Drosophila melanogaster: one gene and its partners. The protein of the gene in region 4 interacts with the protein of the main gene of each other region in a pairwise test. Each region holds a gene or a part of one and is shown on either strand. Other genes may lie near its edges.

Region 1 (6,441 bases), on a different chromosome or scaffold from region 4:
TCAGCAGCAGGGCTTCAATCCGGAGATCATCGACGATGAACTCTTCTACGCCCAACCGGATGGCGTGTATGCTCCACTCACCCCATCCGTATACGAGAGGATAGTTAGAAACGAGCTGCGATTCTAGGAGCGCCGGACTTTGTTCTTGGGAAGAAGAAAAGTCAAGACTGTGCCTTGTATGTTGGTGAAGAGGATATCCTTTGGATTCGGCTTGTGGTGCGCCAACTACTTTTAATTCTGGCTAAGTTTCTTATTGTCCGGACAATATAAACTTTAGCATTGGAAATTTACTGTTGAAAGAGCGTTTCCGCGGGTAAATTATTATTTTGTAACTATTTCCTTCTACAATTCCTACATACATAAGTGTCACATCGTATTGTATACATTGTATAGATAATAAAAATAAAATTCAGCCAATGATAAATCCATATTGTGCTCTATTATGTGATTATAGCATTTTCCTTCTGTAAGACAGGATTTTGATTGGTTTTCATTAGATTTGTAATTTAGTTTATTGTGCTTAGTTAAATAGTTTTTAAAAATGAAACTTACAATTGAAAGAGCATCATTAGCCACTTTACGTTGGAGTAGTTAGAAAATCTAATATCCCGGCTTCCTTAAACAGTTCCAATCAAATCGGGATGGCTTTAGCTACGATTACACTTTTCAATAGAACCTAGGTTACATCCATTGCTTGAGCAACTGATGCCTTCAGCTTAAGTGGAACCAGATTTTCAGGTGAACGGATTTGGAAACGGGGTCGTATAAAATACTTTCAGCAGTCTTTGGATCTATATCCGCTCAATCCTTGGGCGGCACATCCTTGCTCAACTCTGCACGCTTCCTCTGCTCCATGCGCTCCTCTACCTGGTCCAAGCGCTCGCTCATGGCATCCAGGGAGCTCAGCAGTCCCGCCTGGATCTCGCCATATCGCTTCATGGCCAGGACCAGACTCTCCTCGATAAGTTCGCTCTGCTGCGCGTACTCCCCGTTGTTCTGCGTTATGCCCTTTAGCTGCTCCAGACACTCGGCGGGAATGCTGCGGAAGTACTCCGCGCCCAGGGCCGGTTCCAGCTGCTTAATCCTCTCCAGCTGCTCGGCCTGCGTGTGCAGCTCGGGGGCCACGGCTTGCAGGTACACCTCCTTGGAGCGCACCTGCTGGTGCTCCTCCAGGAAGTTGGGGTCCAGGTACTTCTCCAGCTCGTCAGATCTCTTCACGCACTGCTGCAGTGCAGCACTTCCTGTGGTTGCTTCGCCCAGGATGGCGTGTGCCGAGCACAGGGCGTCGACCACGCCCTCGCCCACCTCAGAGTCCTGGACCGGACCCAGGACTCGTGTCAGGGCATCGATGCGCTTCTCCAGAATGTCCAGTGCCTCCATTTTTCGCTGAATTTCTCTTTATTTTGTTCGTTTTGATGGGAATGATGTCAGTCTGCAAAACAATCGATGTCCAACGAAAAGGTGGCAACGTTAGCTTGGTGGCAAGGTTCTTGTACTCGCTAAGCAGAACGAATTAACCCTTATGCGGACTAAAAAATATGGTATTTAAATAAAATATTTAGCTCCTCTGCATAAAGTTTTTGGTGCATACGTATCTATAAATATAGTACACACTTAAATTCCATTGCTATTTACTTAGTTTCTTTTAAACGTAAACTGTACAATACAAAAATCTCAGTTACAACAGCTTAAAATTCTCGAGGGACAACCGCTCCGCATCCTTGTTGATCTGCGCCAGACTATCCTCGGAGATGATGCGCACCGTATCGACGTCCGGGTCATCGCCTCCGGAATCATCCAGCACACACAGCAGACCATCGTTCTCGATGTACGGGAAGAAGAACTCGGGCTTGTCCCAGCTCTCCTTATCGCCGATTCCGTGGTGCGACTCTTGTGCCATGTGCTCCACGAGCAGCTCCTCCTCGTCGAACTGCAGATCGCAGGTCACGCAGCGCAGCAGGCACATTTGGCGGCGCAGGTAGTTGACCACCTTGACGCGTTGGTAGAAGTTCAGAGAGCTGGTGGCCTTCTCGAAATCCAAGCGATGAACCTCGTGCATGTGCTTCTTGAGGGCGGTGAAGTTGTCGCCGAGATGGTGGCAAAACAGGCACTTAATGGAGCTAGGCTCACCATCTGCCGCCCAATCCGACCAGTCCGAATCGTGTTCGCCATCCGAATCAGGGCGAGCGAAGTGCTTGTCGAAGTCCACGCTGCCGGTTTCAGGATCAGCAACTGTGGACACGGATGCCGTTTCCCGTCTTCGCTTTTGGAGGTGCTGTTTCCGGGGCGTGGGGGCCGTTGGTACACGATTGTAGTTGATAAGGAAGTACTTGTCGTACTCCCTTCGGTTCGGATTGATCCGCTTGTGGCCCTTCTTGCGCATGTGTTCCTTGAGCGTGGGCCGATCCCTGAAGATCTTCTCGCAGTAGAGGCACATTAACCGATTCAAGTTCTCCTCCAGGTGATCCAGCAGTTCGTCCACATACACCAGCTTCTCGGGCTTGCCGACCAACAGAAAGTGCTTGTCAAACAGATGGTCCAGATAGTCCGCCCTCAATCCCTTGATGATGGCCCTGCAGAAAAGGCACTCCTTGGAGAAGGTGCGGTCGGTTAGCTCGAACTGATGTCGCTCCAGGGCTTCACTTAGGCGCTTCTCCTTCAACCTTCGCCGCAGCTCGTAGTCCTGGGGCAGGATGTCACACAGCAGGTAGTACTTTTCGTTCTTGGCGTACTTGCCATCGGGCAGCTGATCCAGGAACATTGTGGTGCAATATTGCTCGAATTCGTGGGCTAAAATGGGTAACAATTATTAAATTTTCAGGGTAGGGTTGCTGATTCTCTCACTGTGAAACTCCTTTTCCCAGTACTGGAGGTAGTCCTCCAGAAGCGCTATATCCTCCACATCGGCGATGACCAGTCGGTGCTCCATATACAAATGCGCCAGGCAGTCATCTTTATCTGACGGAAATATGTACACCTTGTCGCATTTCAGGCACTTGATGGCCGTGTTCTTGGAGGGCTTGAGTTTCGAACTGCCAGTGATCTCCTCCAGCGAGGAATCCCCTCCTGAAACAGCCACCTCGTGCTCCATTTGTTTACGTTCTCCTGGTGCTCCACGAATAAGTGTGACCGCAGGTGCTTAGCGGCAAAATACTGTTTGCGAGATAAGCTTAATTATGACGTACACTGGAAACAATTGAAAATTTAATGAATTTAATTTAATGCACAAAAAAAATTAAATAAATACTTACAACTGTCTTATGAAGACTAAATAATCAAAAAATGATATTCAGTATTTTCGATGTAGACAACACGTACTGGAAATGTTAATATCCTTATAGGATATTATACGATTCAAATATTTGTAACTTATCTGTGAATTAAAATTCTGAAACTTACAAATACATTGTTCGTTAAGTTTTCAACAGACTATGATGAATCAGCAGCATCTTATCGGTTAAAAATGTTTTTTTCGGAACTCTGTGATTCAATGCTTATACTATGGCAATAGTTAAAAATTCTTAAGTTAGTAATATTTTAGATTGTTTTTTGGGGTTGACGAACTTGAGATGTTCGCCATGTAACCATAGGGCATTTCGGCTGCTGGGTATAAAAGGAGCTGATAGTTGGGTGGGGACGTGCAGTTGAGAATCAGCAACTGCTCGCTAAAGGTCCTCCTAATCGCGAATCCATCGAAAATGGCCGACAAGAAGAATCTGCTCCTTCTGTTCGATCATCCCACGGAGCCCGTGTTCATGGACAAGGGTGGCAATGGCACCGTCTTCGACGTGCCCGACTCCTACGTGACCGATCGCTACAATCAGATGTGCAAGAAGGTCCAGCGGCGCGTGAGCAGCGCGTCCGAGAAGAACGTTCAAGTCAAGGAGATCGCCATACCGGATCTCAGTTGCTCCATGAGACTGGGCCGCTCGGAGCAGTTCTCGATCTTCCTGAAGTCCCACCGCAAGATGGCCAGCCACCTGATCGAGATCTTCACCAAAATGCAGACCGTGGATGAGCTGCAGAGCGTGGCGGTGTACGCCAGGGATCGCGTCAATCCGGTGCTCTTCAACTACGCCTTGTCGGTGGCCCTGCTCCACCGTCCGGACACCAAGGACCTCGAACTGCCCGCCTTTGCGCAGACCTTCCCGGATCGCTTTATCGACTCGAAGATGCTTCGCAGCATGCGCGAGGAGTCCTTTGTGGTGGAGCGCTCCGCCGCCCGCCTGCCCGTCGTCAGTTCGGTCAAGTACACCGCCTCCGATCTCGATGTGGAGCACCGGCTGTGGTACTTCCGCGAGGACCTGGGCGTCAACCTGCACCACTGGCACTGGCATCTGGTCTATCCCATAGAGGCGCCCGACCGCAGCATCGTGGACAAGGACCGTCGTGGCGAGCTGTTCTACTATATGCACCAGCAGATCATTGCCCGCTACAATGCCGAGCGGCTGAGCAACCACATGGCCCGGGTGCAGCCGTTCAACAACCTGGACGAACCAATTGCCGAGGGCTACTTCCCCAAGATGGACTCGCTGGTGGCCAGTAGGGCGTATCCTCCGCGCTTCGATAACACCCGGCTGAGCGATGTGGACCGGCCTAACAACCAGTTGAGGGTTGGCATCGATGATATGAAGCGCTGGCGCGAACGCATCTACGAGGCCATCCATCAGGGCTACGTTTTGGATGTGAGTGGGGAGCTCTCCGATTCCAGGAGTACATGCATCCAACAACTAATTGGTTATTTTTTAGACGAACAATGAAAAGATCGTGCTGGATGACGCTAAGGGCATCGACATCCTGGGCAACATCATCGAGGCTTCCGATCTGACGCCCAACAGTACGCTGGTAAGGAATCTAAGTGATAATCTGTAGATCACCTTTCCATGTATATTATTTCCATCTGCAGTACGGCGACTTCCACAACATGGGGCACATACTGATTGCCTACTCACACGATCCGACCAACAAGCACCTGGAGTACGCGGGCGTGATGGGCGACGCCTCCACCGCGATGCGCGATCCGATCTTCTACAAGTGGCACGCCTTCATCGACAATATGTTCCAGGAGCACAAACGTCTGCTTTCTCCCTATGAGAAGCAAGAGCTCAGCTTTCCGGACGTTCGCGTCGAGAGCATCCAGGTGGAGAGCCAGGGTCAGGTCAACAGGCTGACCACCTTCTGGCAGGAGTCCGATGTGGACATGTCCCGTGGCCTTGATTTTGTGCCGCGCGGCCATGTCCTCGCTCGGTTCACCCATCTGCAGCACCACGAATTCAGCTACACCATCAAGGTGGAGAACTCCAGCGAGGCCACGCGGTATGGCTACGTGCGCATCTTCCTGGCGCCCAAGCTGGATGATCGCAATGCACCCATGCTGCTGGAGCAACAGCGCCTGATGATGGTGGAGCTGGACAAGTTCGTGGTTACCATGCCTCCCGGCAGCCATACGATCACCCGGAACTCCACGGAGTCGAGTGTCACCATTCCGTTCGAGCGCACCTTCCGCAACCTGGACAAGCTGGAGGAGCTGCAGAACTTCTTGTGCGGCTGCGGTTGGCCCCAGCACATGCTGATTCCGAAGGGTCGGCCCGAGGGTCTGCGCTTCGAGCTCTTCGTCATGGTTTCCAACTACGAAGAGGATAAGGTAAGGTGTCTTTAGAGTATACTGCGAATGCCTCCTGATCCCAATCCTCTTTCCTTGTGCAGGTTGACCAGACGGTCGCAGATTGCGGCTGCAGCATCGCCGCTTCCTACTGCGGCCTGCGCGATCGCCTCTATCCGGATCGCAAGTCCATGGGCTTCCCCTTCGATCGCAAGCCGCGTCGAGGCTCCGAGATCCTGGAGAACTTCCTGACGCCCAACATGTGCGCCGTGGAGGTCATCATTACCCACGAGGACCGCACCGAGAAGCTTCGCGAGGTACCAGCTCGCTCCTGAATAAGAGAAGCATCTTGTTATGGCCAGTTTCATTTTTTGGCTTAAAGAGAAGCCACTAATAACGGTCTATAGCTTTCTCGCTGTGTAGAAAATACCAAATAAATTAATGAAATACTATCAGATGCCAAAATACCAGTTTACCGTTGGAACTCCCCGCGAACGGTCACACTGTGCTGCGGTTGGGGGCGGAATTGAATTTATTTGCAAACAAAAATCGAAACACGGGAGCTCGACGTTAGCGTAAGTGTTACGGCCACCGATTCAGCTGCTGGCCAATTAAAATATCATCGATGTTGCACACAGATACGCCGCACAGACACTCACGCACACACGCACCGCCTGGGAGCAAGATTCGAGCCCAGAATCTCAATTTGATCAATTTAGCATTCTGGCCATTTGACAATACAAATTGAGACTCGTCTGCACTGGGTACAAAGTTCAGTCCGTGTGCATTGGCCTGTGCCTGTGTGCGTGCATTCGGGCGTGTGTGCCTGTGTGAGTCTG
Region 2 (9,057 bases), on a different chromosome or scaffold from region 4:
TCTCTGCCATTGACCTTTGCCATGCGCTCCAGAATCTTGAGAGCCTCCTCCAGGCGACCGCGCATCAAAAGCCATCTCGGTGATTCCGGCATGACGAACATGTACAGGAAATAGGCGTAAAACGGCAGGGATGTGATGTAGGAGAGGCGCACCCAATCCCGCTCCAGATAAGTGACGCCGGACAGGAGCATGATGCCCGAAGTGTAAAAGGTGCACGTCATCACAGTCACGAAGGATCGATAGTTTTCACCCACCAGTTCCAGAGCTGCAGACGCAGAAAAGTTAATGGTTAAAGTTAGAAGCAACAATGAAATACCCACATATTATAAATGGTATCTGGTAGACAGCTGGAATGGTCAGTCCTACGATGACTCGACTGCCGGCCCAAGTCCAAAAATCCTTGCTCAGCGAAGTCATTAGGCTGCCAGCCAGCAAAGTGGCCAAACAGACGAAATAGGAGAGCCTTCGTCCACCACGATCATTGAGTAATCCGAAAAGATAGACTCCCACTGGACCGCCAGTATTAAGAGCAGCCAATCCAATCGTAGGATAAATATCCTGATCGCACACTAGATCGAACTGAAATAGGAGGATTTAATGGTTTATAGTAAGCCAATCCTTCGCTCCTAGGTAAAGGTAGTACTGATGCTTGGGAAATGATTCGAGCAACTCCTACATGAATGACGTTGTAGTTTCAAATGAAGGCTTGGTGGTCTGGATTGCGCACATCAATCACAATGGAGGACCAGACGACGCTTGTGTTGTACTCCCATCCCTGGGGGCACTTGATCAGTGGCCAACTGGCATTCGGCTCCATGGTCGTCAGGTCATCCTCTTCCCCCGATTCAAGGAGCTGCGTCCAGTTGACTCCGTAGGTATAACATTTGCTGTAGACCAGTTCGTCGTTATCCTTGAAATAATTATTTCATCAGTTATTTCAAAATATATTTAAATAATAGAAGGCATAGAATATAAGGTTTACCTCTCCCCCATTTCATTGTTAGCCCCTTCGATTACTCATCGAACCACCCTCGTATCGACCCTTCACCTTAAGCAACGCACAATCAATGGGCTGACTTGATTGCCTTAGCCTCGGCACTCGTATGGCTGCAATTACTCACCAGTTCCTTGGGTATGGACAGCGATTTTCGCTGCTCCAGGGGCAAGTCGAGTAGCTCCGGGATGCGACACCAATAGTCATCCGGAGTATCAGCCATAAACAACTGGTTAAACGCACAAAAACCGCACGGTATGCAGGCGGGCAGGCAAATTCCGAAAACCAAGAGCTTCTGGTATTTGCCGAATTCGCCAATGGTGGGCAGAAGGTCGTCCAGATCGAAGGCCTCCTGGAAAGAAAACAGCAAATCTAGAGAAGATCAAGGACCGTGTCTCACAGATATGCACATCCACCGAGGGCTGGGATTCGGGCTTGTGGCGTTGTCGCAGCTCCGAAAGTTCATCGTATTCGTCCCCATCGTTGTCCTCAATATCTGACATGGATGCGCCTCTAGACAAGCTCTGAGCTGGAAATGTTTACTCACACTGCCCGATTGGCTCAGCTCACGGAAGCCATAGAAGCAACCACTGACAACTGTCAGTTGTCTAGGGTTGAAAGAATGAGCTGGTTCTGTTGATAGTAAAAAGTTTGTCGCAGTGGGCTCGATTCGTAATTTATATTTTTGTTTATTCTTTAGTCGCAAGTTAGATTTAAATAGTTTAAACTAAAGTATTTAAAATATTACACGTGAATTCAATCCTGCTCGAATTACGGCTAAGACGAGCCACTAATTACAGTTGTTAGGCTTTGATATTACAAGTAGAGAACGGGGTTTAAAGTACTTCGTTATGCAGCTCAGTACATTTAAAGGGATTTTAGTTTTTTTTTTCTTGATAATTTCTTCTTTTCTTGGAATCGTTGCTAGAGCTGGGAAATGGACAATGCTAAATTTTACGCCTAAAGATTAACAGAACGAAGAGCTATACAAAAGATGCTTCAAGTCGTTTTAACTCCAACTCGTTCGCTGTTTACTGCTTAAAAATTATTGCGCGCTTCGTTACTCCACTGTTCCTTGCCTGATACAAACATATGTTATTATACACATATCAATCGTAATTATAGTAAACAGAAAACTGTCTGTGCCGGGCGCACAGCGCAGAAATCACACACACATTAGGCTTAAGTGTAAATTTGTGGCTACACATACAAAAATACATTCGCACGAGCTCCTTCTTGAATTATGCGGTTTAATCCACCTTGACAACACTGTAGATCTTACGTATGAACCAAAAGCACGCGAAGAACCCGATGGTGCCGGTCAGCAAGAAGAACAGGAATACCATAATGGCCGTGTAGCCGAAATACAGGAACGTCGAGGCACTGTCCTTGATCGAAAGCTTTGTGACGAAGTAGTGGCAGCAGTATATGAACAGATAGACTGCTGTGAAGCCGGACGTCAGGAAGGAGCGCCACCACCAGTGATAGTCCTCCGCACACAAGTGAAAGTAGCACAGCAGAATGGTGGTCTCCGAGCATGTGATGACCAATATGACAAAGACCAGGAACAGAAAACCGAACATGTAGTAAATCTGGCTGGACCACAGCGAGCTCAGGATAAAGAACAGCTGAATGAAGATGCAGCCAAAGGGTAGAACGCCGCCCATAACGATTCCAGGAATAGGCTGTGTGTAGATCGATTGGTCCGGAATCTGACGGGGAATCTGGTTGGTACGCACAGGGTGCTCCAATGCCTGAAATCGTACAGACAAATGTAAGGAACCATTTTAAAAACTAGCTAAATATATACTCACGCGCTTGCGGAATCCAAAGTAAGCTCCTACAAAGGTTAGTGGCACAGAGACGCCAAACCACAAGGCAAGCAGAGCAATTAGCGTGCTAAATGGCACAGCTCCGGAGCTATTTTCCCCCCACAGCACCAGGTTCATGACGAAGAACAATGAGAAGACCACACTAAAAAAGAAAAACGATTAAATAATAATATCGCTTTAATTTCAAAGAACTTACCCAGGGCAAACGATCGAGGTAAGGATGACATTACTCTTCCATTTCAGCCCACCGAAACTCTTGTAGATACGCGCAGACACGTAACCAGCCGGTGTACCCAACGAAACAAACAAGACCATGGAACAGGTCATCAGGGCTCCCCGATTGGCTGGGGACAAGAATCCCAGGCAGGCAAATGCTAAGGTGATCATGGCCATCACAAGCACCTGTACACCCGAACCCAGGAATACCGACAACAGCATGCCCTTCCGCGGCGGCCTGAACACATCACCATGTACCAGTTTCCAGCCAAACTCCTCCTGGGCATCCTCACCGCTATCCATCTGATTATAGCGGGCTATATCTTTGTGCAACGTACGCAGCATTATCATTGCCACCATGCCACTCAGGAAAAGGACAATAACCAGGGAGTTGAGAATGGAGAACCACTGGATATTCGTGTGCGGCATGGATTCCAAAATGTAGTCCCAACGTGATGACCATTTGATAGAATCGTTCTTTACAAACTTCACGCTGTACGTGTAGACAATTTCCAGCTGTTCTCCAGCCTTTAAAGAGTTCTCACTGATTGCCAGTGGCTCTGTGCTCAAGCAATTGGGGTTTTCCTTATCGGTGTGCTTAATAGATTTGGGAGTCACTTTTACAGAGATTATGCGTCCACTGTTGCCGAACTGAATTCCCCAGTCCTCCGACTGTCCACTGTGATAAGTAATCTCGAGATCCACATGGTTGAATGGATAATAATGCATTGGCTGGTTATATATAGAGTTGATGGGACAACCCTCGCCATCACTGCGAACTAGACAACCCATGGGAAAACCAATTCCGCAGTATTGCTTGCCGTTCTCCAGTGGGTAGCACCATGTAACCGGCATGTTGTCCACAATCCAATGATGTTGGTAGTTCAAGCTGATTCCTTTCTTAAGAACCATCATACGACGGTTGCTAGCCGGATCGTCTCCTTTGTAAGTCTTGACACAGGTCTAAATACGAAGAGTCATTAAATCATTATGTTGGTAATGCGTTAAAACTGTTTAATCTTACGGTCGCACATTGCTGGTTTTCCAAGAACTGAATTTTATAGGGTCCTGGACGAATTCGCTCTCCGAACACAACCTGTCCCAGATTCTCCACCGGTGAGTTCTGCTCCTCGCCCAAACAAAAGTCGAAGTGATGGTACTCATAGGGTATTACGGATTCCTCAGTGTTTAAGCGGTTGACGTACAACAAGATTTCCGACTGAAGAAGATAATCAGGAATTAGATCAATCAATTGGATTGACAACTGTTGATAATACTAGTGTATTTTAATCTTATCGTGGAAATAATTATTAAAGTTTGGTAAAAATTCCAAAAGTTTGCAAATGCGTTCGATAATTTGACCCCGTAATTTGCTTTTACTTTGGGTTCTTAGAAATTTATCTTATCAAAAAGCTCTCTTAGATTGTTAGAAACAATTGAATGTGAAACACCTTAATTAATTCTTATCATTGGGCAACGTCTAATTTAAGGGCGTATAAACCGATTAGGATTTCTTGACCTACGGGTATATTAAAAAGTTGTTTAGATTTGTTTAAAGATAAGATGAAGCAAACAAAACCAATAGCTCACGCTTTATCATCCAATAGTTAGGTCATCTTTTAAAAGGGCTAACCCCATCTATTTGGGATATCAAACTAAAAATTATACTTTGTCCTGAATTTATATTGTTATTGTGTTATACTATTATTACTAAAAAGAAAATAACCCAAACATAATGCAAGGAAGCATGACAAGCTAACCGCGTTCCCTGGTTCAATTATTGGTTAGCCGCCACTATGTTAAGATTCTTAAGGTCGGGAGCCCCCGAAATCGCATTCGCGAGCCAGCTGAACCAACATTAGAACTCCCATCTAGCTGTCGCTAGGAAAGAGAGCTGGCGTAGGCAACGTCAGCAGAAGTTGAGATAGAGGGCCACATATGGACCCCACATATAACTAGTTACTGCGCTTATCAGTGCTTCCGCCTGTGACCACCATTAGAGGAATATAGAACCAATGTACATAACTAGTTCCAGTGCCTTTGCTAATTGTGGCGGGCGTGGGGCAAACACACCCACTATCTACGTACATATGTACATCTGCACTTCTGCACATACGTATACACCTACCTTGCATGTGGATGAGACGTCGGTTTTCTTGCAGAAATTGACCGGTGCCAGTCCGGGCAGATAGAAGGCCTGTGTCGGGGTCGCAAGGTGCAAGAGAACGACGCCCAGGAGCGGCAGAAGTCCGGATAGCAGGATCATCTCGAATTGGGGTAACCAACGAACGGCAGGAGTAGCAGACCTTCTTCCTTTACTTGTACGGGTTGTAATCACAACGTGGCCGTGTCCGCGATTCTCTGCCACACTTTCCGGATCGGCGGGCCACGCACAAACCGTACTATCTGGATATTTATCGGAATATACGGAGTTTTTCGAGTGTTTTTACTACGTTTCCTCTTTTTTGCCGAACGTCAGCACTGTAGCAGCGTTGCCACCTAGTACAGCTGAGAGGGCTGCCAACTGGCTGACAAAAAAACTACCAGCATTTGCAAAGCTAAATATTACCGCGAAAACCTTTAGCTCTTATTATTATTACGTGCAAAACGAAATTTGGTAGACTTAATAAACTTTTATATTTAAATTAATTAATTCCCCTGTTCAGTAAGCGAATGCAACCAATATACACACGTATACGTGTGATACTTCTAAGATATTACTATTTTTATCCACTGTTTCTTAATATAGTAATCAAATTTTGTTCATTTGTTAGTTTTTTACCTACGACTCTTAAGTCAAAGTATTCGATTATTTAGTTCGTTCGAGGTTTTGCTTCCGTGCTTATCTTTGAATATGAAAATTTTCGATAAGCACAATCATTCAAATTTAACGATTGATTTTTGGGGAGGCAAACGCGTTTTAATACAAGTAGTAAGTATTTTGGTCTTATCGTTCCTGACTAATAATATATTTTGTCAAATGGTTGCACATTTCCTACGCATTTAAGAATATTTAATTAATACGTTATTAGATTTAAAAATTATCGATAGTTCGAATAAAGCAATCGAATAGGTGTCGCCTTTTTCATCGAAACTCAGTGCTATCAAATAAAAATCGACATTCGTTTCAGCTCTATTTCAAATCGGAGACACAAGAAATATATTGCCTGCACTTCCCGAAGAGCAGATAAAGGTTCTGCCACCATTAAATAGGCTTATAATAATAACTAAGAAAATCGCCGTTAGGAATCCCGCGCTTTTTTACCGTTCCCGAAAAATAACCAAACAACAATGTGAGTAGAATGAAGAGTTCTACTGAACGCGCTTGTTGTGTGCGTGTGTGCGAAAAAATCAATTCTTTTGACAATCAAGGTGTTGCAACCTGTCGAAATAAAATCGCCAGCTTCAGCGGAGCAGCCCAATAACTTTAACTCTTTTGTCTCCACCATTTGCAGCCGACAGACTAGTGTTGTCTAGTAATTACGCAAAAATTCCATCACCCACACAGACGCACGAGCTGCAGAAAGAAACGGAAAGTGAAGTAGAAATCATATAGAGAGGAAAAGAGCGAAGACATGACTTCCGATATCGCCATGCAATTGATTGCCATTTTGGAAAAGACGGTGTCGCCAGGTGAGTTTCCCCACTGCTACAAACGTGTGTGTATAGATCCGAAAAATATGGATTTTTCTTCGATTGGCGGGAGGGACGCGCGTTATATGTTGCGCAGGGTTGCAATAGGCGCTCGCATATGTTTGGTTGCTAGGGGCCTCCGCACACATGTGCATCCACGTACATACTCCAAGGGAAACTTGGCGGCGCGTCTGTATGTATTCGCAATGCTTGCGCTCCTACAATTAAGGATGTACGAACCGCCTGCGACATAACCTCACTAACTCTAGGAATCGATGAGGCGTCGCTTCGGAGTCACCACCGTATGCTTGGCGGCCAGTTCTTCCGGTTGCTGATAAGGAATGCCTGCAAACTTGCCCCTTGCCTGAAGATTTTATGCTCCACCGCTACAATTCATTACTAGACCTTACTGCTTAGCTCTTCATATGCACACACTTCTTTCACCATCTATTGTATTCTTATTAAACAATATTCTCACTATATACGCCTTGCCTAAAAGTTCCTATCTTGCCTTCACATTCCCAAAAGTCAATTGTTGTAAAATTCAATGGCCTGATACCAAAGCTTTAAGCCGACCCAAAATGGTGGGCGTGTGTAGGCCCACAAATAAAATCTTTCGTTGACATAATTGGAAATTAAAAATGTCTAACCAACCAAATGACGCATTTTCAGACAAAAATGAGCTGCTATCGGCGAAGAACTTTCTGGAGCAGGCGGCGGCCAGCAACCTGCCCGAGTTTCTCAAGGCGCTGTCAGAGATACTGGTGAACACGGCCAACAGTGCGGTGGCGCGAATGGCAGCCGGTCTCCAGCTGAAGAACCACCTGACCAGCAAGGACGAGAAGGTCAGCCAACAGTACCAGGATCGCTGGCATCAGTTTCCCAGCGAGATCCGCGAGTTGATCAAGAATAACGTAAGTTACATACGCTGATGTTGAAACATATGACTTGTACAATTGGCACTGAATAACTGCGACTTACTTTCAGATCCTGGCTGCTTTGGGTACCGAGAACACCCGACCCTCCTGCGCCGCCCAGTGCGTGGCCTATGTGGCCGTGATTGAGCTGCCGATAAACCGCTGGCCCATGCTCATCCAGACACTGGTGAACAAGGTGGTCAGCGAAGGATCCAGCGAGATGCATCGCGAGTCGGCGCTGGAGGCCATTGGCTACATTTGCCAGGACATTCGTTTCGGCGTCATGGAGAACCAGTCGAACGATGTGCTGACTGCTATTATTCACGGCATGAGAAAGGTAGAGCCGAGCAATCATGTACGCTTGGCGGCCACCACGGCCCTTCACAACTCGTTGGAGTTCACCAAATCGAACTTTGAGAAAGACATGGAGCGCAACTTCATCATGGAGGTGGTGTGCGAGGCCACTCAGTGCCAGGACTCGCAAATCTGCGTTGCCGCTCTGCAGTGCCTGGTGAAGATTATGACCCTTTATTACCAGTACATGGAGCCCTACATGGCACAGGCTCTTTTCCCTATTACTTTGGCGGCCATGAAGTCTGATAACGATGCTGTAGCGCTGCAGGGCATAGAGTTCTGGTCGAACGTCTGCGATGAGGAGATAGATCTGGCCATCGAAAGCCAGGAGGCCACTGATCAGGGCCGCGCTCCGCAGAGAGTGTCCAAGCACTATGCTCGAGGTGCTCTGCAGTTCCTGACGCCTGTGCTCGTCGAGAAATTAACCAAGCAGGACGAGTGCGATGACGAGGACACCTGGAGCCCGGCGAAGGCCGCCTCCGTTTGCCTCATGGTGCTGGCCACATGTTGCGAGGACGAGATCGTGCCACATGTGCTTCCCTTCATCAAGGAGAACATCGAGTCACCTAATTGGCGATTCCGCGACGCAGCGGTAATGACTTTCGGCTCCGTGCTGAATGGATTGGAGACCAATACCTTAAAGCCGCTCGTGGAGCAAGCCATGCCCACGCTCATTCGACTGATGTACGACTCCAGCGTTATCGTGCGCGATACCATCGCCTGGACCTTCGGACGTATTTGCGATGTGCGTAGTGGTGATTTTTAAGGTGATTCATATTGTCATACTAACCTTCTACTGCTTTTTCCTGACAGATAATTCCCGAGGCGGCTATCAACGAGACATATCTTCAAACGCTTTTGGAGTGCTTCGTGAAGAGCCTAAAGTCAGAGCCGCGTGTAGCAGCCAACGTGTGTTGGGCCTTCATTGGACTTTCCGATGCAGCTTGGGAGGCAGCGGTCACCAACGACGGAGAGACTCCGGAGACGTACGCCCTGTCCCCGTACTTTGAGTACATCATTACCCAGTTGCTGGAGACCACTGATCGATCGGACGGAGCTCAAGCCAATTTGCGATGTGCTGCTTATCAGGCACTTATGGATATGATCAAGA
Region 3 (8,644 bases), on a different chromosome or scaffold from region 4:
GCGATTGGTTTTGCGATCAAAAATCGGCTTCGGAACTGTTTGAGCACTACAAGGAGCTGCAAGAGCTAGTGGAGAGGAGGTAAGTCGCTTTAATTTCTTTAAAAACCCGAAATTTGAATCCCAATGTAACCTTCCTTGCAGAGCCAGTTCTTTGTGCTCTTCATTTCTGGCCCGTAACAATGTTGATGCGGTGCATCGGCTAATCGAGGCGTTCTTGCAGCACCAGCAGCGTTTGGCCTGCTCCAGCTGCCTCAGCTTGCTCTTTAACTATCAATGTGAGTCTGTGCAACACAACCGAATATTATGTAACTCCCGTTTCGTTTTTAGATATGCGCAAGGATCTGCGAGCCTGCGCTGAGATTGTCAAATCCTGCAGTGAATTAGAGATGCCGCTAAATGAGCTGCAGAACGAACAGTTCCTCAGTCTGTTCCTCGACCAGAGCGATCCTGTGGACTCTTCGGGAATGGCCAGCAAGTACAAGGCACCCAAGTCCTTCCAGTACAAGTTCTAGTCCCCAGTTTCCATCGTTAAGCCGTTGTCATCGTAGTTACAGCACAAGTGTTTGCACCATTGAGCAATATTGCAAGCATCCCCATATTGCAAGCCCCCACAAGGAATGTAGTGTCTCTTCAATAAATGTTATTTAATATCCATCTTCAGGTGGCTCCTTCATCCACCATGTTGCCCTCGGGCAGTTGGCCAGGCAAAATGCCGACGCATTCGTAGCAGCGGGATATCAAGTGGTTGCCGCATCGATGTTGCAAGCACTGTTGGCACCGCGTCCGCGATTTAGTGCCACGCTTATTTCGAGCGCAGGGCTTGCACCTGCGATGCTTCTCTCCGTACCGACTAGCCAAATTAATGCCCAAGGGCAGGCTCATCTTGTCGGGTGTTAGCACGCCTACGCTGTGCGTTAGTTTCGCCTCGCCGGTCGCCTCACTGAGCAGCCGCTGACTGGATTGGCCCAGGATTTCGCAGATTTGCAGTCGCATCACGAGCGAAGTGCTGGTGGATCTTCGCTGAAGGCGTCGCTGTAATCTCTGCTGTGTGAGGAAGAGTCCCAACTGTCTCTGGAAGTCGCGCTGATCCATAGCGGCATCGCCTTTGGGCGAAAGTCGTAACAGGATCCATGCATTCACGGCAGCCGCGTTGAGCACAAAGTGAAGTAGTTGCAGAAAAGGATTGATCTGCTTTTTCAAGGGTGCGGGCGTAGCGTGGGCTGTGCTGAAGCGCTGGGAGTGTTCGTAAAACTGCTGACAGGCTTCTGAGGTTTGCTCATATGCCTGGACTGCATCTACTTGGGAGCTAAGACCGCAGCAGAAGACTGCGTCGCCATCGAGCGGAATGAGTTTTGAGCTGCCACCAAACAAGGGTGATTCTGTGGGCCACTGCCGCGGCCAATGTGGCGAATTGGCCTCCAGCTTACCCAACGAGCTTATTTGCCGCTGCGCCAACTGCTCGCACTGCGTCAAGTTTAGATACCGTGATCCCAGCGTTACATTTCTTCCCGTGGTCTTGAAATCGCAGATCAGTTGTTCTACATCCTTGTCCGGACATCTCTGGTTTCTGCTTACCACTGCATTGGCCATGTACAGTGTCCTGGCATCACAGCAGAGGGTCATCCGTGACTTGGCCACCGCGCAGAATGTCTCATCCACGGTCAACCAACTGCTGCAGCCGTAGTAGGATCTGCAATTGATTATAAGGCGCTGCCAGAGCTTTTGGCCCTCGGACCAGCCGCAATTTCCCGCCAGACACTCGGAAATGCTTTCGAATCGAGCGAGCGACATGGATGCTCGGAATATGGCATTGCCCAGCTCCAGGGTCCACAGCTCATCCAATGGCCCATTGTGCCTGGCATTTCGGAACACTCCACAAAGGTAGCTTAGACCCAAGAATGCCCGCAGCTCCACAACGTCTAGGGGTCTCTGGACACTTGTGGCCGTTCTCCGCTTACGCATCTGTTCATTGATATGGCGAAGTAAAGACCGCAGCATTTCATCATCGAAGAGCAGCATCCATGCTTCCACTGCATTGGACACTGTTCGGGCGGGTCCCTTGCCACAGGCCTGTTGCCCCAAAAGGGGTAGATCCTCTGCAGAAATATCTGGGCTCCTGGTCACGCTCCATAGCTGCCCACAAGGAGATGTGTAGTTTCCGTTATTATTTGGTGGACGACCACGTCCTCGCTTCGGGGCAGCTGGCCTGGCGGAATCCTCCTTCTTCAGCACCACGTCAGCCAGTTGGTCCTCGTTCATCAGCATGTCGCTGTCCTCGAAAATCCAGGGAAAATTGCATACTGCTTCCTGTAGCGGATCGGAGTCATCTCCGTTAAAGGAGGCACTTTGGACTGTGGAATCGACCGGCGGCAGCCGCTCCTCCACCTCCATCTTTTCACCATCCTCGTCTTCTTCCTCCTGGTCGCTACATTTAATATTGGCCAGCAGCTCCTCGTCCAGCACGCATTCCATTGTTTGTTTATAAACTTGCAACAAAACAAACCTTTTCAGTCGTCGATAGGTTAGGACAGTAACGTCTATACATATCGATAATTTATATAGTTATCGAAAAAGACATTTAAAACATAAATCTTAAGCTTGAAAGGTTGAAAACTTATAAAAAAAATAGTTTGTTCTATTTAGAAAAAATTATGTACATTCTAAATATAACTTATTTATTTTAAATGTAGATTTAATTTCCAGCGTAGAGATAACTAGTGTATGTTTATAATTCTTAAACAAATTATACTTAACAAAACTTGTATTTATTCTTGGCGCCACTGTTCAAATTTCAAATGAACCTGCCAACTGAACTAACTCCCCAGTGGACCCCCATCCATGATTTATCGCACATAAGCGGCTATCGGATTTCTTTCGCCACTAATTTGTTGTTTGGCACGCAGCAAGGAAAAGGAATAAAACGCTTTAAAACCAGTGCCAAAATAGCTTTCCCCAACGTTCGTTACTATATTTACGTTGTCTGCAAAAAGAGTTTGTCTAATTGGCCTCGATACTACGGTTGTGACGACTGCCCCGTCACTACAGTTTGCTGAGTGCAGTAACCGGGGCCTGGCTGAAACACTGGGAAAACCAGTGTTTAGTGTAAATAAATGATAGTGGCACCCATTCGGACATCGCAGGTGAATCCCCGGGAGCTCAAGACGCCCGTTATTTGGGCGCGCAGTGAATTTGTCAAAATATTTTGGTTAAAGTGTCAATTTGACATGTTATATGTCATGGTCTCTCGTGTGCCAGTGCGATAGTTATCGATAGATAGCCCCAACTTAATTTGTTTTAAATATTTTTAAATTTCTTCTTTACTTAATTCACTACTGTAATACGTTCGTTTAATGTATAGTTCCTTGGAAATTAATCGATTTAGCAAGTAGACCGATTGGAAAGAAATCAAAAATCGATTTGAAATGCGTATTTGAACCTTAGTTGGCCATGACTTTGGTGTCTGAATGACGCCTGCCCTCAGAAAAAGTTAGTTGAATCTCAAAGTCTGTGGTGACAACACCTAAAGAAACTAAAAAGTGACAGGTTTCTCTGTTTGTAAAAAAAAAAAAATTGTAATTAAAGTTCTGTTCTTTTCCTTTCAATATTTGCATACCGTTTCTGGTTGTGTTTTAATGAATTTTCTGTTTTCTGAAGCTTAAGTCTGAGCTGCAATGATCTCGCCGGAACAAGAAGAGGTCAACATGGTCCTGGATCGCCATGTACGGCAGAATATCCAGGACATGATGCACGAGGCTCATGTCCAGGCGAGCCTGCTGGAGAACGAAGGTGAGTTTGCTATATTTCGGTCGAGTTCGGTCTTGTTCATGCCCGTTTTTTTTGCATGTCATCTGCAGGACGCGGCCGTTTCCACTCGGACTCAAGTTTGGACCAGGATTCTCTTCACGCTGACGTCATCGTGGAGGAGGATCAGAGCACCGAACACGGCGCCAACCAGGTGCAAAACTACCACGACATGATGGTGGACAGTGAACACCACATCGACATAAATGGGTCGCTGCGCAAACGTCGTGGAAATCTTCCCAAGACCTCTGTAAAGATTTTAAAGCGTTGGCTTTATGAGCACCGCTATAACGCCTATCCGAGCGATGCGGAGAAGTTCACCCTGTCCCAGGAGGCCAATCTGACGGTGCTCCAAGTGTGCAACTGGTTCATCAATGCCCGTCGCCGCATTCTACCGGAGATGATCAGGCGCGAGGGCAACGATCCTCTGCACTTCACCATATCGCGACGTGGCAAAAAGGTTAGCCCCAACTGTTCGAGATCAAGTGCGTTGGGCGCAAACTTGACTGGGCCGAATCCCGCACACGGAAGTCCTGCTTCCGAAGTGGTGTGTTATCTTCTGGTCAATCATTATACCACTGAAGTTACTAAATTGCTTGACTCCAGGTCGTTGGCGCTACAGAGGAGGTGGATGGCGCCGGTGAGATTCACGAGGGCATCGCCAATGTGCTGACCAACTTTGAACAGTATGTGCAGGGCCCCAACGGACAAATGGTCAAGATGGAGCCGGAGTACGAGGACAGTGTCATCTACAGGTAACTGGTAACCGGTCTTTATGACCTGCTTCCCTAGCGTTAGTCACTTCTATCTCCTATCCCATCCCACCTATGTCCAAACTCCTTTTCCTCTTCCAAGCTGGCAGCAGGCCATTGCAAACAACCCGATGGGCTTTCAAAGTCTTCACTCCTCGCTTCAAGCAACCATGATCGATAAAATTAAAAACTATCAGATGCGCAAGGCTGCCGCCATTGGGGGTTCGGCGGTTGGCTCTGGTGGTGCTGGTGGGTCGAGCTCCAACTCCAGTCCTGCCACATCAATACTGCCATACAGCCTTTTTGGCCAGCTGCCGCCAGAGTTCGATGACGAAGAAAAGCCAAGACCTCCGAAGCGCGTAAGAACGCGGACGGTTGCTGCAAAGAGTCCTAGGGAGAATGCCAAGCAAGCAAAGCAGAAGACTGGGAATAAGCAAGAAACCATGTACTGCTATAAGGATTCATACGGCGGAATCGTGGTGTCTCCTAGGTACAGCTTCTGCTCCCATTGACTGATCCAGAGCCTTAAATCTTACTCAAGTGCGAGTGGCGGTGCTAAGATTTTACTTTTACCCCCAGGTCCGAAGGCGAAGAGAGTGCACAGGGATACGAGTCCTGTGGGCCGAACAGCGAGGAGGAAGTACGCTTCGAGACCTCCCATGATTGGCAGAGCGTTATAAAGTAAGTAGCTATGTGGATGTATTAAGAAAATATTGTAATCTCGGCCTCTGCAATTCCAGAACTGTATTTGGTACTGAGGAAGTCAGCACTTCGGCTGGCAATAATCCAGGTACCTCTGGTTCTAAGGGATCTGTTCAGAATACCGCCATCTGGAATCGCAATCAGACTGCGAAGCGTGACGGTGAGTGAAGTTTGCAGACTTAGAGCTCGGTTTCTTTGGTAATATCCAACTCTTTTACTCCTAAAGTGAATCAACAGTTGACTGACTTTGAAAGCGAGCTGAATAGAATACAGGCCTCAGAAATCCAGACAATCGATCCTACCAACTCCAATCAACAGGACATTGGTGACAATCTACAGGCGGACGAGGTGTTTACCGGTGCCGAAGCAGAAGCTGGCCAGAGTCAATTATCTGCTATGTCGCAGGGTAACCTATACCTATTTTTATCAACTTTATATTGAATTTTTAATTATTTTATAATCTTGCTTTAGGCACAAGTCCAGATGAGCGTGCCAAGTACAAGTGTCTCTATTATCTAGTGGAAACTGCCATGGCTGTGCGCCAAAACGATGACGTCCAGGATGACGATTTCGTTTACATGGGAGACTAGAGCCTCAAACCAAATACCCACGCTACAGATCCCGACTTCCCAAAGTGCCGAAGCGTGTATATACAAATATGTATATATAGATATATATATATACTTAAGTAATTTAATCGAACAGCACTAGACCCAAAAATTTGTCTATAACCCCCATGTTATTGTGTTAATTGAGTAGGTTACTAACATAACGTACAAAGCTATAGATCAATTCGCAATGCGACCGCCCAAATACCTTTTTCCACAAAGTCAATTCACAAACAAATCGACTTAGTTTTGGACCTGACTCTTTTAAACTTAACATGTACACTACTGATACTTAAATAAAACATAAACAAGCATTTGAAATACACATTGCCATAAAATGATGGTGTGTTTTATCTAATTGGCTGATAGAGCCATTTTTTTAAGGTATCTAGTAATTATGTACACATACATACATAAAATGAGAACGTTTGTGGAAGGACAAAATTAATTTTGTTATAAATATTATAAATGTATTGGAATACTTTGGTTACCACAGATAATAAAGAGTGGCGCAAAAACAAAATGATTCGATTTTTAACTATAAAGCTATAGAACAAAAAAAAAGAATGATATATTCGAGTTCCCCGGCTATCAGATACCCGGTACATATATGTGAAAATGTGAACAAGAAATTTCATAATTTTTCTGGGGTATTGATAGATAATTCGGAAAAAAGAAATATCCAAAAATTTTCAAAAATGAGGGCGTGAGTTTTGCGCTGTTTTAGGGCGTTACAGTGGGCGTGGCAAAAAGTTTTCATTTTTCAAAAGTGTGGGAGTGGCATTTTGTACGGTTTGAAAGCGTTGGAGTGGACGTGGCAAAATAGGTCCACAAACTTGTGATAGTTCCTGACTTCATACGAACGGACAGTCAGACGGACGGACGGACAGGTCGACTCGGGTATTGATCCTGATCAAGAATATATGTGTTTTATATGGTCGGAGAAGCTTCCCTCTGCTATTACATACTTTATAACGAATCTAGTATACCTTTTTACTCTACGAGTAACGGGTATAACAAGTGACGATCGCACCTCCAACATACAAATCTTCTGAAATCAAAATGATATTACATTTGACCAAATAAATGCGCTTGTCTAAATTTTACAAATCAAAATTTTTATAAATTTTGGATAAGGTAAAAAGTACATTTCGAGACGCCCGTTACTTGGGCGCGCAGTGAATTTGTCTAAATATTCATGGTCTCTCGTGTGCAAGCGCAATGTTTGTGCGATAGTTATCGATAGTTGGCCCTAACTTAATTAATTTTAAATATTTATAAAATTCTCCTGTACTTAATTACTTACTTTAATACGTTCGATACAAGCAGACCGATTGAAAAGAACCATTTTTAAAAATCAATTGAAAAAATTTGTTTTTGAACCCTAGTTGGCCATGACTTTGGTGTCTGAATGACTTGCCTGCCCTCGGGAAAAGTTAGTTGAATCTCAAAGTCTGTGGTGACAACACCTAAAGAAACTAAAAAGTGTCAATTTTCTCTGTTTGCAAAAATTGTAATTAAAGTTACTGTGCTTTTCCTTTCAATATTTGCACACCGATTCTGGTTGTGTTTTAATGAATTTTCTGTTTTCTGAAGCTTAAGTCTGAGCTGCAATGATCTCGCCGGAACAAGAGGAGGTCAACATGGTCCTGGATCGCCATGTACGGCAGAACATAAAGGACCTGATGCACGAGGCTCATGTCCATGCGAGCCTGCTGAACAACGAGGGTGAGTTTCCTATATCCCGGTTGAGATCAGTCTTGTTTATGGCCGTTTTTTTCTCCAGGACGTGACCGTTTCCACTCGGACTCCAGTTTGGACCAGGATTCCCTTCACGCCGTCGTTGGGAATGATCTGAGCACCGAACAAGGCGCCAACCAGGTGCAAAACTACCACGACATGATGGTGGACAGTGAACACCACGTCGACATTAATGGGTCGCTGCGCAAACGTCGCGGAAATCTGCCCAAGTCATCTGTAAAGATTTTAAAGCGTTGGCTTTATGAGCACCGCTATAACGCCTATCCGAGCGATGCGGAGAAGTTCACCCTGTCCCAGGAGGCCAATCTGACGGTGCTCCAAGTGTGCAACTGGTTCATCAATGCCCGTCGCCGCATTCTACCCGAGATGATCAGGCGCGAGGGCAACGATCCTCTGCACTTCACCATATCGCGACGTGGCAAAAAGGTTAGCCCCAACTGTTCGAGATCAAGTGCGTTGGGCGCAAACTTGACTGGGCCGAATCCCGCACACGGAAGTCCTGCTTCCGAAGTGGTGTGTTATCTTCTGGTCAATCATTATACCACTGAAGTTACTAAATTGCTTGACTCCAGGTCGTTGGCGCTACAGAGGAGGTGGATGGCGCCGGTGAGATTCACGAGGGCATCGCCAATGTGCTGACCAACTTTGAACAGTATGTGCAGGGCCCCAACGGACAAATGGTCAAGATGGAGCCGGAGTACGAGGACAGTGTCATCTACAGGTAACTGGTAACCGGTCTTTATGACCTGCTTCCCTAGCGTTAGTCACTTCTATCTCCTATCCCATCCCACCTACGTCCAAACTCCTTTTCCTCTTCCAAGCTGGCAGCAGGCCATTGCAAACAACCCGATGGGCTTTCAAAGTCTTCACTCCTCGCTTCAAGCAACCATGATCGATAAAATTAAAAACTATCAGATGCGCAAGGCTGCCGCCATTGGGGGTTCGGCGGTTGGCTCTGGTGGTGCTGGTGGGTCGAGCTCCAACTCCAGTCCTGCCACATCCATACTGCCATACAGCCTT
Region 4 (7,022 bases):
ATACAATTTAAAAACATACTGTCATTTTGTACTTCTTATGAATTGTTATCTTATCTCTGTGATTTTTTTGGAATCAGGCATAACTCTTTGGCAAAGTATGCTTTTGAAATGCTTACAATAGTTTGTCAACCGGTCAGGCAGTTTCTTAAATTATTTGTTAATACTTTTGCTTTTACTTAAGCCTTAGCTTAACGCACAAAGTTCTTCGACTTTTCACCTGCTTCGTAAGCAAGAAGTCGTTGGGATTTTCCAACGCGGAATTTGCAATTCAGCTCGTAAACTTGCTGATTTGTTTGCCACAAAAAAGGTGGCGGGACTTGCGTGATGAGTCAAGTCCCGACTTTCCCACTCGATTTCCACAAATGCAAAGTCAGGGCCAGGTCAAGGACGGAGGTGAGCTCCTGAAAAGGGTTTTTTTTTTTTTTGGCTGGTGCGGGGGAAATAAATTTGCAATTGATAGCCTGGACTGGCTCGTAATCAGTTTAAAAGGGCCGAATCTCAATTTGGCAATTGAGTTTGGATGGCTGCGGCTGTGGCTCGACGTTCACACCCATAATCCAATCGTTTGAAGCGCTTTTATGGATTCGACATGTCAAATCGCGTGCAAATTTGTTAGAATTGGTTTTCCCAAGCTTCCACATTCCGCAATCTCGCCACTAGGAAAAATATCATAGCAGCTTCAAAAGGAAAAATATTGGATACCATTTTGAATTTTAGAAATTTGTCATGATTATAAATATCACAGAAAATAAGTTTTAAACTCCTTTTCTAAACCAAATTTTGGAATAAATAATATGACTAGCGCCTTGGTTACCTATTTTGAATTATTGTACCCAGCTTTGCTTGCAGTGTATCACCACCCGTAATCAAATACAAAGCCCCAGGGGCCGAAAGGCTTTACCAGTCCATAAGAACATTTTTTGTTTCCGCTAAAATGATGATATGATACACGGGGGAGTTCAAAAAAGGAGACAAGCGGCCAATGAAAAAAAAAAACGCATTCAAGTCATGTAATTTCGGAACTTCCTTTGATATTGTACATTTGTTGGTGCTTTGCATGCGCTAGGTGCAAATTGGGTTTTTTCCAATTTCATTTTATATACCCACGGCGTCATGAAGCCACCCATATTTATTGCATAATTTTCAGCATAGCTTCCCGCGCACACACATTGCGAACATTGATTGTGGAAATAACTACGGCCAGTTGTGACTTTTACCAACTAGCGTACAACTAGATTGCCAGATTTTCTCGGGCGTGTTACATTTCAAATTGTATTGTATTGTATTGTATGTATTCAAATTATCAAATAAATTAATTTTATGAACCAAATTCCACATGCTGCTAAAACATCACATACGTTTGATATTCTATTTTTAACAAAAATAACCTTTATTTACGTATGAAGTTCATTCTTACAACTATGAATACGCTATCCGTTAGCGTTTAAGCTAGTATTACTGATTATAAGGGATTATATCTGGAAATAAGACAGTATACTCTACTGAATTTGATTGCGTCAGTGAGCTTGAATTCGGATCTCGTTCCCGCCCCCCTGCTCGGCCACCATTTCCACCTTCATGCTCTCGGCCAGCATTACGGCGTTCTGGTGCAGTTTGGTCTCCTCGTGCTGGCGCATGTGATGCAGCAGACGGAAGTCCTTGTTGCAATAATCGCAGCGGTACAGTTTGATGTCCGAGTGGATGAGCTCGTGCTTGGTCAGGGAGTGAGCGTAGGCAAACGCTTTGTCGCACACCTTGCACACGTAGGGCTTGATGCCACGGTGAACACTGATCGGAAAAAGAAAAGTTAGTTATCTCTGTCCCGAACTAGGAATATATTTAAATGGCCCATTTTGAGGCCTCTCCGTGAGAATAACATTTCTACTCACTTTTCATGAGACTTGAGAACACTTTCGTAGAAGAATTGACGACTGCAGAAGCTGCACTTATAGGGTTTGCTGCCCGTGTGGGAGTACATGTGCTTCCTCAGTTGCTCGCGCACCTGGAACTTGGCATCGCATAGTCTGTGAAGGCGGGATTAGGGTTATCGCTTTAATATGAAATTTACCGACTCGACTTACTCGCATGCATATTGGCAGATGCCGTCATGGCGTCTGCGATGCTCCATCATCCGGCCGCGCTTTTCGTAAAAGTTTCCGCAGACGTCGCAGATATAGCCACCCTTCTCAGTGCCGTCCGATGTTGTTAGGGAGTTTAATCCGCGACGAACCCGGCCGCGCCGCGCCTTCAGGCTTGCCTTGGCCGCCTCCTGCAGCGCCAACTGCTGCGATGGTGTCTCTTCGTACTGCTTCTCAGACTCCAGGACGATCTCGGTCTGATCGGAGTTCATCTCGATGGTGTAGTTGTCCTCCAAGTACTCGATGGTGTCGCCAATGCACTCCTGCTGATCGCTGGTGTCCACTTCCAAGTACTCCTCGTGCCCCTTTTCTTCCTGGTGCTCCTCTTCCCCGGTGGTGGTCTCCTCCAGGATGTACATCTCCTCGTCGCATTGCTGCTGCGAGCCGTCCTCCTCCTTGATCATCATCACATCTGATTCGTCCAGCAAGCCCAGTTCCCGGCAGTACTCCTCAATCTCCATCTGCTTGCGCAGCGCCTTCTCGCGAAACTGGTAGGCCATGTTGAGTTCGACCTTGCAGGACTTGCAGATGCCATCGGGTATGTGTTCTCTGTCGTTCAGCTGCATGAGGGATGGATGGATGAATGGTCAGTTCGCATTGCCAGCTCTAGCGATTCACTTACATTGCTGTATGAGACTCCCAAAAGTTGAATCAACATCTCGTTCGGCGATTCCTCGCCTTCCTCGCGGATCTCGTCTAGGCGCTGCAGTCGCTCACTCTGCGCCAGGCAGACCCGGCACGTCTGTGGGGTAAGCTCGACGCGCATTCTGGAATCCTGCTCGAAATTTAATTTAAAGAACCGCTCGCGTAGTATTGTAGTGTTAAAATTTGTGTTGCTAAAGTGTTGTGTAAAGCGACTGAAAAAAGAAACGAAAAGACATCGCCATTTTCCTTACCAGGGCTGCATAGCATCGGCGAACACGATGTGGTTCATTTTGCTGGTTCCGGGAAGCGGATTTTTGGTTAAATATCTGATAAACATGTTTGCTGCTTGTGACAATACATTGGAAATATTTGTTCCTTTAACCATGGCTAAACGATATGATATGATAACTGAAAGTATTCCCCAGTGTGCCTATAAACACAAACAACTTGTAAAATGAGAAAGAAAATATTAATACTTCAAATATTCAAATATTATGAAAACAATTATATATATATTTATATATTTCTTTCATATTTACGTATATTTAGATAGAGTAAAGAATTCAATCATAAAAATACCAACGTCTTACATTAAATATTATTTAAAAAAAGGCCTAATGCGCTTAAATTTGCCTTATCAATAGAAAATATTATGTCCAATACTGACAATACATCTCACCAAAGATTTAATTTAGCTAGGAACCAGTTCTCTATGGCTCATTTTTTTGACCAGTGGCGATAACGATGACAGCAAGATCACTAAAAGACTAGCGTTGCATGTTTATCATATACAAGCTAACATTGCGTAAGGTGAATCTGCAAATTATATACAAATTATTAGTAATTTACTCATTTATTTATGCGAAATCGCAAATACAACACCGTGTTTACATCCGAAAGCTCTGGCAAAAAAAGCACATTTCTTAATGCAGCCGTCTGGCAACGCCACATATTTTTCGAGACGCAGAACGCAAGATATTTTCTTATCTCTCGTTAAAAAATGGATTATTTCGGTTCAATCGGTGCGTATCTGGGAAAATCGCATGCTCGTTGGCAGTAAAGAACGCCACGCACTTTCACGTCCCACGCCCAGCGCACTCCCGCCTGACGGGAAAATGGGAAAGCAACTATATCTGGCATCCGTATCTTCGTCCGTCGCAGCCGTCAAAATGTTCGTCGCGCCAGTTATCGACTCGGCAATCTCCATCTCCTAAGGCACACACACACTCAATAGAACGCAGTCCAGCACTCACACAGGCAGCCACCTACGTAACCTGGCAGCGGAAGCGCCCTTAATCTTGGCCAGAAACCACAGCAGGCAGAAAACAACGAGGGAGCAGCAGCAGGCGGAGGGAAACGGAGGCGCCGCTAGCACTAGCACCTAACATGTCCGAGAAGCACGGCCAGCTGGGTGCGCAGTGGACGAAATCAGCGGCGCCAGCAGCAACAACAGCACCAGTCTCCAATTCCATTCCCATACCTCAACCGATCCCTGTGGCACTACCCCTCCAGAAACCCAACGCCAATCCCTATGGGAACTGCAGCCTACAGCCCGCGGATATAGTCTACAGCGCAACCAGATTTCAAGGACCTGCTATCCATGCAAAGGGCTCTCCTTTGACCATTACGCCCGTGGGCCCTGTCGGCGGAGCACCTGCCTCTGCCCAGATCTCGCCCACGAGTCACACCCATGTACCTGTACCTGTAGCCACGCCCAGCGGCTTTGTGCCGCCTCCGTTTTCCAATGCCACCAGCGCCAGTGGAGGTGTCTCCACTTCCGTACTTACTCCGAATCCCTTTGCCACGGCGAGTGCAAATGCTGCTGGCCTGGCCTTTGCCAATGCCTTCAGCTTTAGCACAGCCCAGCAACTGGGTCTGGGCAAGATCATGCACGCTATGGGCGGAGCTACTGCGGGAGTGCCATCGGCGCCAGTACCAGTCACCACGACTCCAGCGACAGCTGCTCCTTCGACCCCAACAATAGCTGGTCCACGGCATCCGAACGAGGGCGTTCCAGCGGCCAGTGGAGTGATAAACTCCACCATTGCTGAAAACGTAATGAATGCTTTGAGCAACTCCAACTCAGCGGGATCAGTTCCCAGTGAGGAGAAGATGAGAAGGGTGCTGCAGGTGATTGAGACCAGCTTGGAGTAAGTGTTGTTTGAAGAATCCTATGTTTATCCTTGCTAATTTGTGTGCGTCTTCCCGTTCAGCGACAATGCGAAGCTGCAGATTTCACAGATTCTAGAGCGTGTCTCGGGACTAAAGCCCATTGAGAAGCTATTCCTCTATCTTCGTTTGCCTGGCGAATGCGCAGACACCGATCCGTTGAGGCAGCCACAAAATCCACTAGGAACGCGCTCGGAGATTAACCATACCATTAATTGGGTGCGTTCCCATCTGGAGCACGATGCACAGGTCTCCATACCAAAACAGGATGTGTACAATGATTACATGTGAGTTCTTTTCATTCTTATTCAAAGCATTATTGAAACTAAGACGGTAACAGTGAAAATGTATTTCATTCATTTTTCGCTTGAGAAGTCTAAATATGTATTGTATATACAAAAATGCTGCAAATCAGTTGAATAATCATACTATTACTAGCATTTTTTTTTTAGCATAGCCCTAAAATTAATAATTGGTTTATTTCACCATTCATTTATAGAGCTTATTGCGAACGCCTCAGCATCAAACCTCTGTCCACAGCAGACTTCGGCAAGGTGATGAAGCAGGTATTTCCGGGCGTTCGTCCTCGGAGATTAGGGACGCGTGGAAACTCTCGCTATTGTTATGCGGCAATGCGGAAAACCACCAAGCTGACGCCCCCGCAACTGCCGCAGCTGTGCAAGACGGAGCAGATCGTAGCGGGTGATTCCAATTCGGACCCGAGTCAGCTAACTAGTGCCTCCAGTTTGGGTGGCTTACCATCGACAGGAGGTGACTCTGAGTGCTGGGATGTGGTGCGCAGTTGGGCAGAAAAATTGCTAAACACTAAGCTAGAGAGCGTTGCGGATCTAAGCTCCCGTATCAAGAGCAACAATGCAACAGTTTCTACAAAAAAATACACTCCTCGGGAGCCCAAGGAAAAGCGAGTTTTAGCAGTAAGTATTAAAATATTCCCTAATTAGAGAGTCCTAATGCAGTATTCTTTAACAGGACATTGGACCTTTGAAAAAGCGGCGCAAAAAGAAACGCAAGGGATCCACGTCCTCGGAGTCCAGCTGCAATCAATTGGTAACTGGCCAAGACGCGGGTAGCAGCCAGGAGGCCAGCGACGAACAGATACTGAAGATCAAGCAGGAGATCATCGACTCACCCATTCATCCCCAGCAGCCTCCAATAGGTTATCTACAGCAGGTAACGCCCATGAACCTAGCCACAGATCAGCGAAGCAGTAGCGCTGTCCGCAACCTCACGCCCAAAATCCTGGAGATGGGCTCGCCGGCCGTAGTACTCACCCAGCAGGAGGTATCCCCCACGGGCATCGTCATAAAAGATGAGGTGGAGGACTACACCTCTAATATTTTCTGCAAGAAGGTTTTGAAGGCGCAGCAGACAAAGGGATTCTGGGCGAATTCTCCAAGCAGTGGGACAACGAGCGGTGTTGGTTTACTGGTTCCACCTACGATCACTACAACCTCGGCCACACCGCCACCGCCAAACTCTGAGACATCCCCGGTTCCGGGACCTGGACTTTCCATGGGCCCACCCTCACAGATGATGAGCACCAGTTCGGTGAGTCCGTCGAGCACTGTGGACACCACACCTAAAGTGGCCTCCCGAAACCAAATGATGATTCTGAGAGCCAAGCGTTTGATGGCAGCGGAAAATGCCGCTTTGGCAGCCGCCGAAGACTCTGGATTGCCTGAGAATCTGGGACTGCCCAGGGAGCGAGTGATAAGCATCTGTAACATGGACAAGCATGAGCTGGATGACTACTTTCTACCAGGCGAGGACGAGGAGAACTCCGAGGAGCCCGACAACGAGCTGCTCCAATATTTTCAGATGGGAGACGCTGAGGAAAAACAACTGAATTCCTTGGATGCTGCCGAACAGAACAAGAATCCACAAGAGCCACCGACGATGGGCTCTGCACCGGAGGCGATGCCCGCCCCCGGACGCGGAGCAGCAGTCGTCGCCGCTGCAGCAGCGATGCTGGCGCCGGTGCCGGCACCTTCGATGTTGCCCGCACAGGCAGGAGTGGGTTCTGCCTCAGCGTCTCTGGCCCTAATGTCA

The links.
Region 1: the proteins of Zif (region 4) and CG9890 interact in a two-hybrid assay, tested with the Drosophila melanogaster proteins (one large-scale study listed by BioGRID).
Region 2: the proteins of Zif (region 4) and TM9SF2 interact in a two-hybrid assay, tested with the Drosophila melanogaster proteins (one large-scale study listed by BioGRID).
Region 3: the proteins of Zif (region 4) and achi interact in a two-hybrid assay, tested with the Drosophila melanogaster proteins (one large-scale study listed by BioGRID).

Annotation. Positions count from the first base shown.
Region 1 is NT_033778.4:23,061,131-23,067,571, forward strand, and holds CG9890 (uncharacterized protein), read right to left. Parts: upstream 3,131-6,441; 5' UTR 3,092-3,130; coding exon 2,845-3,091; intron 2,791-2,844; coding exon 1,679-2,790; 3' UTR 1,617-1,678; downstream 1-1,616. Other genes in the region: Fatp2 (fatty acid transport protein 2), read left to right, coding at 1-127; DCTN3-p24 (dynactin 3, p24 subunit), read right to left, coding at 802-1,380; PPO3 (prophenoloxidase 3), read left to right, coding at 3,699-4,685, 4,750-4,845, 4,907-5,644, 5,707-5,937. UniProt on the Drosophila melanogaster protein: DNA binding protein which is involved in the positive regulation of both basal and inducible transcription.
Region 2 is NT_033779.5:20,728,756-20,737,812, forward strand, and holds TM9SF2 (transmembrane 9 superfamily protein member 2), read right to left. Parts: upstream 5,555-9,057; 5' UTR 5,309-5,554; coding exon 5,171-5,308; intron 4,262-5,170; coding exon 4,067-4,261; intron 4,006-4,066; coding exon 3,023-4,005; intron 2,969-3,022; coding exon 2,809-2,968; intron 2,749-2,808; coding exon 2,245-2,748; 3' UTR 1,661-2,244; downstream 1-1,660. Other genes in the region: CarT (carcinine transporter), read right to left, coding at 1-265, 321-579, 728-910, 1,122-1,346, 1,405-1,497; Fs(2)Ket (female sterile (2) ketel), read left to right, coding at 6,618-6,675, 7,348-7,589, 7,663-8,691, 8,760-9,057.
Region 3 is NT_033778.4:12,509,272-12,517,915, reverse strand, and holds achi (achintya), read left to right. Parts: upstream 1-2,853; 5' UTR 2,854-3,140; intron 3,141-3,517; exon of another isoform or gene 3,518-3,572; intron 3,573-3,654; 5' UTR 3,655-3,671; coding exon 3,672-3,786; intron 3,787-3,854; coding exon 3,855-4,348; intron 4,349-4,407; coding exon 4,408-4,556; intron 4,557-4,656; coding exon 4,657-5,043; intron 5,044-5,132; coding exon 5,133-5,234; intron 5,235-5,293; coding exon 5,294-5,415; intron 5,416-5,481; coding exon 5,482-5,661; intron 5,662-5,726; coding exon 5,727-5,845; 3' UTR 5,846-6,382; downstream 6,383-8,644. Other genes in the region: CG8818 (uncharacterized protein), read left to right, coding at 1-79, 142-275, 328-512; CG13151 (uncharacterized protein), read right to left, coding at 658-2,472; vis (vismay), read left to right, coding at 7,477-7,591, 7,650-8,050, 8,197-8,345, 8,446-8,644.
Region 4 is NT_033777.3:6,453,169-6,460,190, reverse strand, and holds Zif (Zinc-finger protein), read right to left. Parts: upstream 3,104-7,022; 5' UTR 3,035-3,103; exon of another isoform or gene 2,975-3,034; 5' UTR 2,905-2,974; coding exon 2,761-2,904; intron 2,699-2,760; coding exon 2,082-2,698; intron 2,025-2,081; coding exon 1,890-2,024; intron 1,789-1,889; coding exon 1,518-1,788; 3' UTR 1,369-1,517; downstream 1-1,368. Other genes in the region: CG9727 (uncharacterized protein), read left to right, coding at 4,170-4,933, 4,997-5,239, 5,452-5,887, 5,943-7,022.